3 linked regions of the Xenopus tropicalis genome follow. The protein of the gene in region 2 interacts with the protein of the main gene of each other region in a pairwise test. Links are inferred from orthologs where the notes say so. Each region holds a gene or a part of one and is shown on either strand. Other genes may lie near its edges.

Evidence for each region.
Region 1: the proteins of arl6ip1 (region 2) and c12orf10 interact in binary tests that used the Homo sapiens proteins (3 or more experiments, as listed by UniProt). The two-hybrid records come from large-scale screens. The link is inferred for Xenopus tropicalis from reciprocal best matches to the Homo sapiens genes ARL6IP1 and MYG1.
Region 3: the proteins of arl6ip1 (region 2) and snx12 interact in binary tests that used the Homo sapiens proteins (3 or more experiments, as listed by UniProt). The two-hybrid records come from large-scale screens. The link is inferred for Xenopus tropicalis from reciprocal best matches to the Homo sapiens genes ARL6IP1 and SNX12.

The regions. Positions count from the first base shown.
Region 1 is NC_030678.2:147,125,341-147,127,998, forward strand, and holds the end of c12orf10 (UPF0160 protein MYG1, mitochondrial), read right to left. Parts: intron 2,585-2,658; coding exon 2,403-2,584; intron 918-2,402; coding exon 758-917; 3' UTR 660-757; downstream 1-659. UniProt on the Homo sapiens protein: 3'-5' RNA exonuclease which cleaves in situ on specific transcripts in both nucleus and mitochondrion. Involved in regulating spatially segregated organellar RNA processing, acts as a coordinator of nucleo-mitochondrial crosstalk.
Region 2 is NC_030685.2:32,823,018-32,826,676, forward strand, and holds part of arl6ip1 (ADP-ribosylation factor-like protein 6-interacting protein 1), read left to right. Parts: intron 1-1,313; coding exon 1,314-1,447; intron 1,448-2,818; coding exon 2,819-2,938; intron 2,939-3,659. UniProt on the Homo sapiens protein: Positively regulates SLC1A1/EAAC1-mediated glutamate transport by increasing its affinity for glutamate in a PKC activity-dependent manner.
Region 3 is NC_030684.2:44,619,336-44,623,508, forward strand, and holds the start of snx12 (sorting nexin-12), read right to left. Parts: upstream 2,909-4,173; 5' UTR 2,873-2,908; coding exon 2,708-2,872; intron 1-2,707. UniProt on the Homo sapiens protein: May be involved in several stages of intracellular trafficking.

The sequences.
Region 1 (2,658 bases), on a different chromosome or scaffold from region 2:
ATGCTCAGTGTGCGGAGCAGCTCCTGAGAAGCTGAGCTTAGGGGTCATTGCAAATTGTCAAGCAGAAAATGATGCTGGCCTGTAATATAAGCTTATGCAGAGTACACTGGTTTCTGGGCTGACATAATTTTCTGATAAGCCATATATTGTGACATTTATATTCTATATATACTGTAAATTGAGTGGGTTCCTAAGCTCGGGTAAGTAACAGCAGCACAGCGTATGTGTAGGGAATCAGCGGAAAAGATGGGGGGGGCATCTTGGGGGCACAGATCTTCCCTGCTAAAGGGCGGTAGTTGCCTTGAACTGGCAGAGAAGCCCAAAACATAAATGTTCAGCATAACTACTTCTTTCTTAAGCTTTAGTTCTCCTTTAATGAAGTCCCAGTGCTCAAAGTAATTGTGGCAAATACGGATCAATTCTCTACCTGTAGGTTAGGCAATGGGTGATTATGTGATTATGAAGTACAATGTGGTTTGAATGACACTATTGGTGTTATTTGTTGAAACTTTCACTGTGTATAGAATTTTTATAATAACCTATTGTAGAATATTTCCGCATGTCTATATCGCTGCATAATTCTGATGTAACCTGTAAGTTTCAGTAGCAAAAGCAAAAAAAAAAAAAAACACCAATAAATACAACTTATTAGATACTGATTGACAAAAACTTGTATACAAAAATATTTACTGATGTCACAATATAAATACAAGGAGATGTTGTTGCTGTGTTTTGTCCTATTTTTAGAGGAAGCGCCCTAGGATCTCAGTGCTTTTCGTGCCATTTCTAGTGCTCCTACTTGGGTCTCATTTCCACCAATAAATCCACTGGCATGAACAAAGATGCAGCCTGGTATCCCGCTAACAGAAGAGAGATCATCTGCGCGAAGTCCGCGCCAATCCTCGGGGAGAGACAGACTGTGGGGTTAAGAAGATCAGTAATTAAAGGGAAACTATACCTCTATAAAATATAATGCATATAACAGCTCATATGTAAAACACTGCTTCAAACTAAATAAATCATTTAAATCCACTTTTCTAGTAGCATGTGCAGTTGAACAATCCTAAATAGAAAATTGCCATTTTAAGTACTAAAGGCTGTTTTGTGGGATCATAGGATTCAGGGTGCACACAAACAAACCAAGGGCACACATACATGTTAGGTCTCATCAGCCAGTGAATGGACAAAGTTCTGTCTTTTACTCCCACACTTCTCCCTGTTACAGTTAGAGCTGCATTATTTCCCTCCAGATGTGCGGTGGGCATTAGTACAACCATGATAGTATGTTAAAATAAGTTTCCATTTTGCTGCTATGCTTATTTTATGTGTTTAGCCAAATACTTTCTGTATCCAAAGAAACTAAGTACGGAGCAACATCCACACTGCCGTTTAAAAAATCATTTCTTTATTCCATCTCCTTAAAAACATGTTGTGCTTATACAGAAAAAGACCATACGCTTGACGCGTTTCGTGGTGTCTCACCACTTTTTCAAAAGCTGCATGGTACATCCATTCAGAAAATACCCTTTATAGGTAAACAAAACTCCTCCCACACATCTTGTTAACCCTTATAGTGCATATATCATTATTAAAAACAATGCTACCCAGTAAAAAACACTGGAGCTTATTATTTAAAGCTTATTAACATCCATCAGCCACAGGCAGTTAAAGAGATACAACAAATATGTAAATGTACATATATACACTACCCCTATATATGTGTGCACATATCTATATATACCCATATACAAATAACCATCAGTCAATAGAAACAGGTTAATTCCCACTCTCTATTCATACCTCCCAATGACTCTATAGTACCCAACTGATAAATCCAAAATGCTTCTCTACGTAACAATCTATTCTCAAAATCACCTCTCTTTATATTAAAACCACCTGAATCTATAATCTGAAAATGAAAATCCATGTTCCCTCCATGTTTATCAAGGGAATGTTTAGCTATAGCCGATTTGATATCCCCTCTACCTAGTACATATACTGGGAAAATATATGTTATTAAACAATATTTTAATTGTACCTCACAAAAGGTGATATATTTGATTACATGTAAATGTGGTGCTCAATATGTAGGTAAAACAGTCAGGAAAGCGTGTGAACGTATTTTGGAACATCTATCGGCCATAGGTAGAGGGGATATCAAATAGTTTCTTTGGATACAGATTATTTTGCCGTCTGGGTGCCGGCTGTGCGTTTGAACACACACTGCTGGATCTGTAAGTGCTCCCGTGAGTTTTAAAAAATAGCCAAATACTTTCTACCACACTGTCTCAACGTAACGTGATGTTGCATTTTAGTTATAAAACAGGCAGGACAGTATATTTTATAATTATTTTTAAGATCCCTATTAACATGTGAACAAGAAGTGTGCTGAATACTGTTACCGGTTCAGGAAAGTGTTTGGGCCTGTAGGGACACATTGCACCCTCCACTTTGCGCTCTGGTCAGGATACAGTACATATTTCACTTGCTTTTCCAGACCAAGCTCTTTCTCTAGTTGGAAGAGGTGTTCCTTCCATGGGCAGCCACCCTGTGCCAGGACAATCACCTCACCACTCTCATCCACCTGTGCCAAAAATAAACAATTTCATCCCAAAATGCCAATTTCTCATTCAGATGTGACATGTGTTATCCATGAGA
Region 2 (3,659 bases):
ATTGATTTCTTTATACTTCCTGCACAAGACCTATTATTGTTATTATTAAAGGAGAAGGAAAGGTTTAGTCATTGGTGGGTGCCCCCCAGTGATTGTATCATCATTACCTGATACCCTGGGCCGGTGCTCCTGTTAGCAGAAAACTGAACCAGACTGGGGAGCGAGCAATCCTCTTCCTTTCGTCTTCTTGCTTGGAGGAGTGGAAAAGCTAGCTAGCGCAAAGAAAGGAGGAGGAAGAGGATTCCTCCATGATGCTTGCTGGTGGAACTCCGAGTCGGTCCGCTTTCTGCTAACAGGAACACCGGCCGGGGTATCAGGTAAGTGTTTACACACACAGAGGGCTTCTTAACATTCAGTAACATCAGTATAATAATAGCTCAACAATATATCTTTCCAAGCAGATTTAACCACGGGCAAAAAATCTTACCATGTGCCATTGCCCTAATAGTGATACAATCACTTCACACTTATCCATAATAGTTATTGGGGGTCACCCGGACACAGTAGATAAAGTGTAAAGCATACACGTCCCTTGTAAATTGGTGAGATACCGTCTCAAGCTTAATAGAGTAATATTGGCCAGTTAGTAATTGTCAGCTAAACTCACCAATTAGGAAAGTTGGTCCAGGTACCTTAAGCCGTGAACCTGTATCCTCAGGCGGTAGAAGAAACATTCAACCTAAATTGCTTTCGCACACCAATTGACCACAAAAGATGTTTGTTAAAACATGACTTTATTCCATCCATCTAAAAGGTATGCCTGATGAGTTTCATAAGCAACCACACCTAATAATAGGCAAGCCTCCTTTAACCTTAGAACTTGTCTTTGCGTGTGCCATATTCTGTATTATAGTGATATTAAAAAGTCACCAAGGAGTTCCATTAACATATAAAGACACAAAGGCAAAGCTTAAGTATATTTCATCTTTTACAAGGTGACATGATATCCTCATATTTTAAAACAAAGGGTGCAATATTTGTTACAATACACAAGTTTCAGTTGATAATATATACCCGTTATCCAGAAAGCTCCAATTAGAGGAGGCCCATCTCCCATAGACTCCATTGTAATCATTACATTTTTTTATTTTTTTTATTTCAGTGCCTTGTAATTGATCACACCTAAGATATAATTAAGCCTTACTGGAGGCAAAACAATCCTATTGGGTTTAATTAATAGTTAAATGATTCTTTTGGAGACTCAAGGTATGGTGATTCAAACTACAGAAAGATACAGGTTATCCTGCACTGTGATTGAAATAAAATATTACATTTAATAATTCTATGACTTATTCTGAAATCTTTTTCTAAAGGCTGCGGAGACCGCCAGCCTTGAAGAGCATTTTCAAGGATGGGGTGAAGTGATTCTGGTGACCGATCGTGTTCTTCGTTGGGAGAAGCCATGGTTCCCAGCAGCTATAATGGGAGCTGTTTCTTTTCTATTTCTGTAAGTAATAGGTTTGAACATATTCTTAAAGTAAATATTTTGGCTTCATGTCTGTAATGATTTTTGACTTACCATAAGTAGTTTTAGTAGTGTAGAAATATTCTTCCAGCAGAAATGTGTTATTTAATAATAATCCAAATTGCTACTCTACTGTACTGATTCTTTTGGACAGCACAGCAGTCACAATATAATATCAATACAGAGAGGGGTACACATACAACTTATACTGCTATTGGTGCTTTATGCAGATTATAGTGCTATTGGTGCTTTATGCAGTTTATACTGCTATTGGTGCTTTATGCAGTTTATACTGCTATTGGTGCTTTATGCAGTTTATACTGCTATTGGTGCTTTATGCAGTTTATACTGCTATTGGTGCTTTATGCAGTTTATACTGCTATTGGTGCTTTATGCAGTTTATACTGCTATTGGTGCTTTATGCAGCTGACATGTTTTCAGTTGCTGTAGCCCCTTATCCAAGCATTTAATGCTCCTCTTTGTGTGGATATTATAGTATGGATTTTGCACTGGTGGAGCCAAGGGAGAGGGAGCACCAATACTGTTAAGCTTGTCTACAGCTGAGGACCAATTTAGTGTTTAAACCATCACTGTCACTTTCCATCCATTTTAAATGGGTGAATGCGTAAGCAGTTGGGGCTTTTCAGCTGGAAATACTTAAGGGTCAGGGAAATATTTATTAACCAGGGAAGCCAAAATATTAGGTACCCTCCAGTGTATTATATAGCTAAACCTGGCCATACACTGCCAATTCCACTCATTTGGCAAGGCCCCCAAACAAGAGGATCCAAATCAGGCTGATCCCAAGATCAGATCATACCCTGAGACCTACAAAGGCCCACTGAATAAGGACTGCATTAAAATGCTTGTGTGCTCGTCTAATGGGATTTTTAAACCTGCCTGATTAAGTTGGCTAGATATTGCCCCATAACTTAAGCCAATAAGCTGCTAACTCAGTCTGAAGTTTCTTTTTGGAAAAAAATGCACCAGGAAAAAACAGTGCAGTGCCACCGTTTTATTTACATTGCAAGGGTCCCTAGCTTGGGCTTGTACGTGTGCAGTAAAGTAACATTTTTCATTTTCACTTTACTGCCCATGAGCAAGTCGGATCTACTGACTCTTGGGAAAGGTAAGTAAATGGTGGCATTTTGTGTTTTTTCAGTCTTCCAGCTGTTATATTTTCCCATGCAACTTTGTATATGTACTTCAACTTGTCATTTTTTGGCAGAGCACTGTGTGCCCATTTCTCCTTAGGTGAAAAAGAGTAATTGGGTGACATCTGTACTTTTAATAAAATAATTTTGATTTGGGGTACATAGAGTAATCATGGTCTTAAATCTTAATTTTTCACAGGATGATCTATTACTTGGATCCGTCTGTCCTCTCTGGTATATCCTGCTTTGTCATGTGCCTGTGTTTGGCTGATTATCTTGTTCCAACACTTGCTCCCAGGATTTTTGGCTCAAACAAATGGTCAGTAAGAATGCATATATTTATACTTTATTTGATTCATTGACACTAGTATCTTGTGCATCTTGTCTGCATTTTATTTATAAGGTGTATTGCAAGTTAGCATTTAATTCTTCCAGCGCATATATCATTAGCCAGAGGACAAGCATCAGAAGCAGAAATTATGTTACAAGGCTGATTATTTATTCATTTCTGATGCAGAATAACTGGTGTCTATGTTGCCATTTAATGTGAATTAAGTACCAAGTAGCCTTGTAATGTGAATTCTGTGTATACTGTGTGTCAGTGCACAAGCTCAGTTAACTGCTAGTAGCCCAGCATGCTTCCATGATTTGAAGATGGAGACCTGCTGGGGCATCTTAAGGCACAGCTTATCACTGGAAAAATGGATTTTGTGGCACTAGGCTGAAACAAAAACCCCATAACATAAGATATAGTATGTCTAGACTAATTTTGTCTTTGAACTTTAGTTCTCCTTGAAGATAAGGTCTTCATGAGTGTGGCACCAGACTGTTCCTCTCCCCTTTGTGTTCTTTCAACCTAAAATGACAGAACTGTTGGCAAGTATAGAAGCACTAAATAGTATAAAGTAAAATTTGAGGAGGATATATTCAATGGGCTTCCAGTCTGTTAGGAATAGGAATGTGCATTTGTAACATGTTGTGTCAGTTAGACCCAATAACACATTCCAGGTTGTCAGAGGCGTCTGATATCCATTTAAAAC
Region 3 (4,173 bases), on a different chromosome or scaffold from region 2:
ATATCCTTTAAAAGATAAGTAAACCTTAAAAAAAACTATTCTAAGCACCTTTCAATTTACATTATTTTTTGATTATTATTATTTTTAATGAATTTTGTAACCACACTACCAGCTGGTCCGGTCCTGTAACTTTACAGTCAGAGAGATATACATTCAGATGGAAAACAGAAATTTTCTGATGTTGCTCTGCTCAGGAAGGAGGTGGGAAAAAGGCCAATAGACAGTCCCCCTTGACTAGCCAACACAAATCCTATACCATCAAATGTCCCTACAACCTACAAATTTAAAGCCTGCTTTACAATAACTGCATTATTTAAATGTTGTTTATGACAGTAAATACAATTTCTGTATAGCAGAGATCTATGGGCCTATCCATGAGTGTTTTTGCTATAGAAAGATAGAACATTAGTTTGTATACAATACTTCGGTTCCCTATCAGGTCAGCCTAGCTGCTGATTGGTTCCTATCCTAGAGTGCCATGTTCTAAGAGCTGCCGCCCCCTGCACAGCCAGAGAATTCAGCCAGCAGGAAGTGGAACAGATGGGCGGGACTAGTGGGGTTTTGGTGGATTTTCTCAATAAATCAGTCAGAATCACAACTTTTTTAAAGCACAATCCTTCTATATTTAGCGGAGTATAATTCACTGGTACATTCTTAATTTTTCTTTAATATTACAGCAACAGCTAAAAAGGAACATTGGTGACTCACTGTCATTTTCACTGCAATGCCTAATGTAGTGGGGCCCATTCCTTCCTTTATGCATTTTATGTAATGAGAGAACTCTCTCAGGAGTCAATATTGTTTATTTATTTGTTACAGAATATTCTAACACAGAAAGAGGCAACCAACACTAACAGCTCTTGCAGAAATACATAATCGGCCAATGCAAAAAGCTAGAGGCGCAGTGATCTAAAATACAAACACTGGTGGCTTTTGGCCACTCCTGGTAAAGCGGCACCTGAGGAAAGTCGACGACCCTCAGCCTGTGTCAGCATAGAGAAAGTCAAAGAATGGAGTTTAGGCACAATGCGATAAGTAGGCCATGCACCTAAAAATCAGTTTGCTGATCTTTCCCCGATACACCCACATTGAGCTGGGCAGTATCAACAAATGAAACTATGCAGGCTGTCAGGGAAAGGAACACATTAATGAGCTGATGCAGTCCTCGCCCTGACAGGATTTTTATGCCTGGCAGATAGATATCTAGACAATTTTTGTCCAAATCAGTCAGTCAGGCAGACAGGCTTCATACATGGGCAGTATAAGGCACCTTTACTGTGCAAGCCCTTCCTTTCCAGCTTTATTTGCAGGTCATTAAGCTGAATGGAGAGCTGTTTGCATTAGGCAGCGCTTTATCCAAGAGGCCAGGCTGTGGGGAGGCACAAAGACATCCTAAGGAGCAAACAGTACAGTGCTCAGGGCTAGACTTAAAACTGGAGCTCCCCTTGGCCTCTCACAAACCCCCTGAACCTGCCCCTCCAGCTCACACCTTACTCATCTACTCCCCACAATTGCACGACTGGATGGACAGAAGATTTAATCAGCTGTCAAAATCTCCCACCCAGTCCTTACTGCAGAAGCGGACAGCAGGCGCCATGCCACCCCCAGATCTCAGCTGCCCTAAGCCCAAGCCTTTGTGGCCTTCCCACAAATCTGGGTCTGACAGTGTTCACTCTTCATACTGATTATGTCAAACACAGGCCAAAGGGGTAGCATTATCAGTAAAAAGCCCAAATGAAGTCCATATTAATTAGTCAAATTCTAAGGGTGAAGACACATGGAGCAACTAGTAGCAGCTACTTGTGGCTACTAAAAAAGGCAATGCTGATCATTTACTGATAAATATCTCTATGTGTGTTTTAGCAGAGGCAATTCTCAGTATTGTCTATAGCAGGGTATTTTCTGGAGTTGAGTAGCCTTGAAAAAGTAGCTGCTACTAGTAGCCTAGTGTGTCTTCACCCTGAGTGTTCAGCGGGAAAAGAAAAATTAGGTAAGGATGACCAAAATATCTGAAAAATCACAAGTTTTCGCTTTACCAGTTTGAAATCACATTCTGTAGCTACATTCTGATTCTCCAAATGATCTGGTCACAATTCTCTAGCATGGTGGTCACAAAGGACTTGGGTGTTCAATTTGCCCCCTGGGCTTCAATGTTTAGCGCCATGATCTAAATCAAAGGGTCATATGTAAAGGTTGGTGACTGGGAATTCACCGATGGTGCCCTCCCCATTCCAGATATTCAAACAGAAAGATGCATTTAGCAGTGTCACATCTATTCCTTGCCATTCTCTGCACTGCTGATTACCAGACCTTCCTTGGCAGAACAACAACTGACTTCTGCTACATTGTAGGAACAGTCAGAACCCAGGGTGCAGAGAGATACTGCTTTCAACTGCAGCTACATTTACAAACAAATAATTCCAATAAATAATACTACTGGTTAGTTTGAACTGAAGTGTTTTAAAACGTTATAAGTAGATTTTCTTTTGTTGCTGGTGTTTAGGAAACAGACTGCCAGCATACCAATGTAAAGCTCAATGTGCAGCTGAAAGAGCAGAGATTCCCTGAGCGCTGACCCGTAGGCTGCACCCTATCTCCACACTGTGACTATTTAATGCCCACTTATATAATCAGGGGGTATACTGCCCATTTATCGCCCTCCCTGACTCAGTATAATAAAGCTTTTCTGCGCCCAGGCAACACTCACCCTCATGCGGACCTCGTACACTGTGTATCGGTTGCGCCCGACTCCCACAGTCTGTGGGTTAAAGATATCGATCTCTAGGAAGTTGCTGGGAGGGCCGTAGGCGTCCGTCAAGTCCTGGGGCTTGGAGTTTAGCCGCCGGGTATCCGCTACCGTGGCGTCCGACATAGTGACCGGAAACCAGGACCGAAATACTGCGGGGACCGACACACCCGGCCCGGAGAACCTATCACGCATGCGCCGAACCTCTTGCGTTGTCAGGGGGACGAACAGTCCCTCTGCACTGCGCATGCGCTGTGCTAAAGGTTTGAAGCCTTCTATACGACCTGACAATCTCCGGTCAGCTGAAGGCGCCGGTTCCGTCCCCTTCCGGAATACCTCATTGGACGACATCCAGGCTCCTCTCTTTTTTCATTGGCTAAATTCTTCTGTCAGCTTTGCAATTGGTTCTAAGCGTTCCGTAACGCCTCCCTTCAAAACCAATAGTGAATAGGGAGGGCTGTTTAAATTAGCAGCAGTCGCTCAGCTTGGAATCTGTTTGGGAGTTACCCTACGGCAGGTACATCGTATGTGGGTAAGAGCCTGAAAGCGCAATACTAGGGGTTCTGTAGACTAAAAATTGGCAGGTAGGGAACGTTCTTTACTCTCAGTAGCTTACTTATCGTAACTATAGTAGCACCTTATTTTCCAGTGTAACTATGGCAGGCTGGCATGGCATTATGGGAAGTGCAGTTTAATAGCAGATATCGCACAGGAGATGGGTTTAGTGCTTGAGTGTAAAACTGTGGGTTTGGGGCGCCAAAGCAGTGGTTGGTGGGAGAGGGGCAGCCTGGCTATGATTAGAGAATTTATTTGGGCTCTCCACTGTAGTTTCAAGTTATTTGTAAATGTAACTGCTATTAAAGCAGCATCTGCCTGACCTGGTTCTGAAACTATGTAGCAGAAGCCAGTTGACTTACTACACTGTTTCAGGAGTCAGAAAGAGCAGAGCAAATACTGCTTTCAGTGCCACTTACATTTGCAGATAACTTTAAGGCAACTGAAAGTTTGTGATGAATATACGTAAAAAATGATTTAATATTTAATTTATTTGCCATGAGGGATGCACTGAATCCAGTTTGTTTTTGCAAGGTCACATGAACCACTGAGGTTGTGACTTTGCCCAAATACTGTTCTGAATCTGTTAAAATATAATGTTCAGTTGTCCAAACGTTTTGTGGAAGATTTGTTATTTACAGAATCAGTGCATCCCTAAACTGCAATTGTATCTGGTGGACCAGATGGAAGCCATACAGCGCTCACACACGGGGTGTTAATTGTGACCTGCAAGGCAGTGTGGGGGAAATGAGTATTAATAACAGTGGGAAAATTTATTTGCAGAGCTGGTGGTAACCCTAGTTTTTGCCTGTATGTGCCATCCTTTATACCATTTGGCTTTTCAAACATTGGGTAACTGTGCTAGACATATT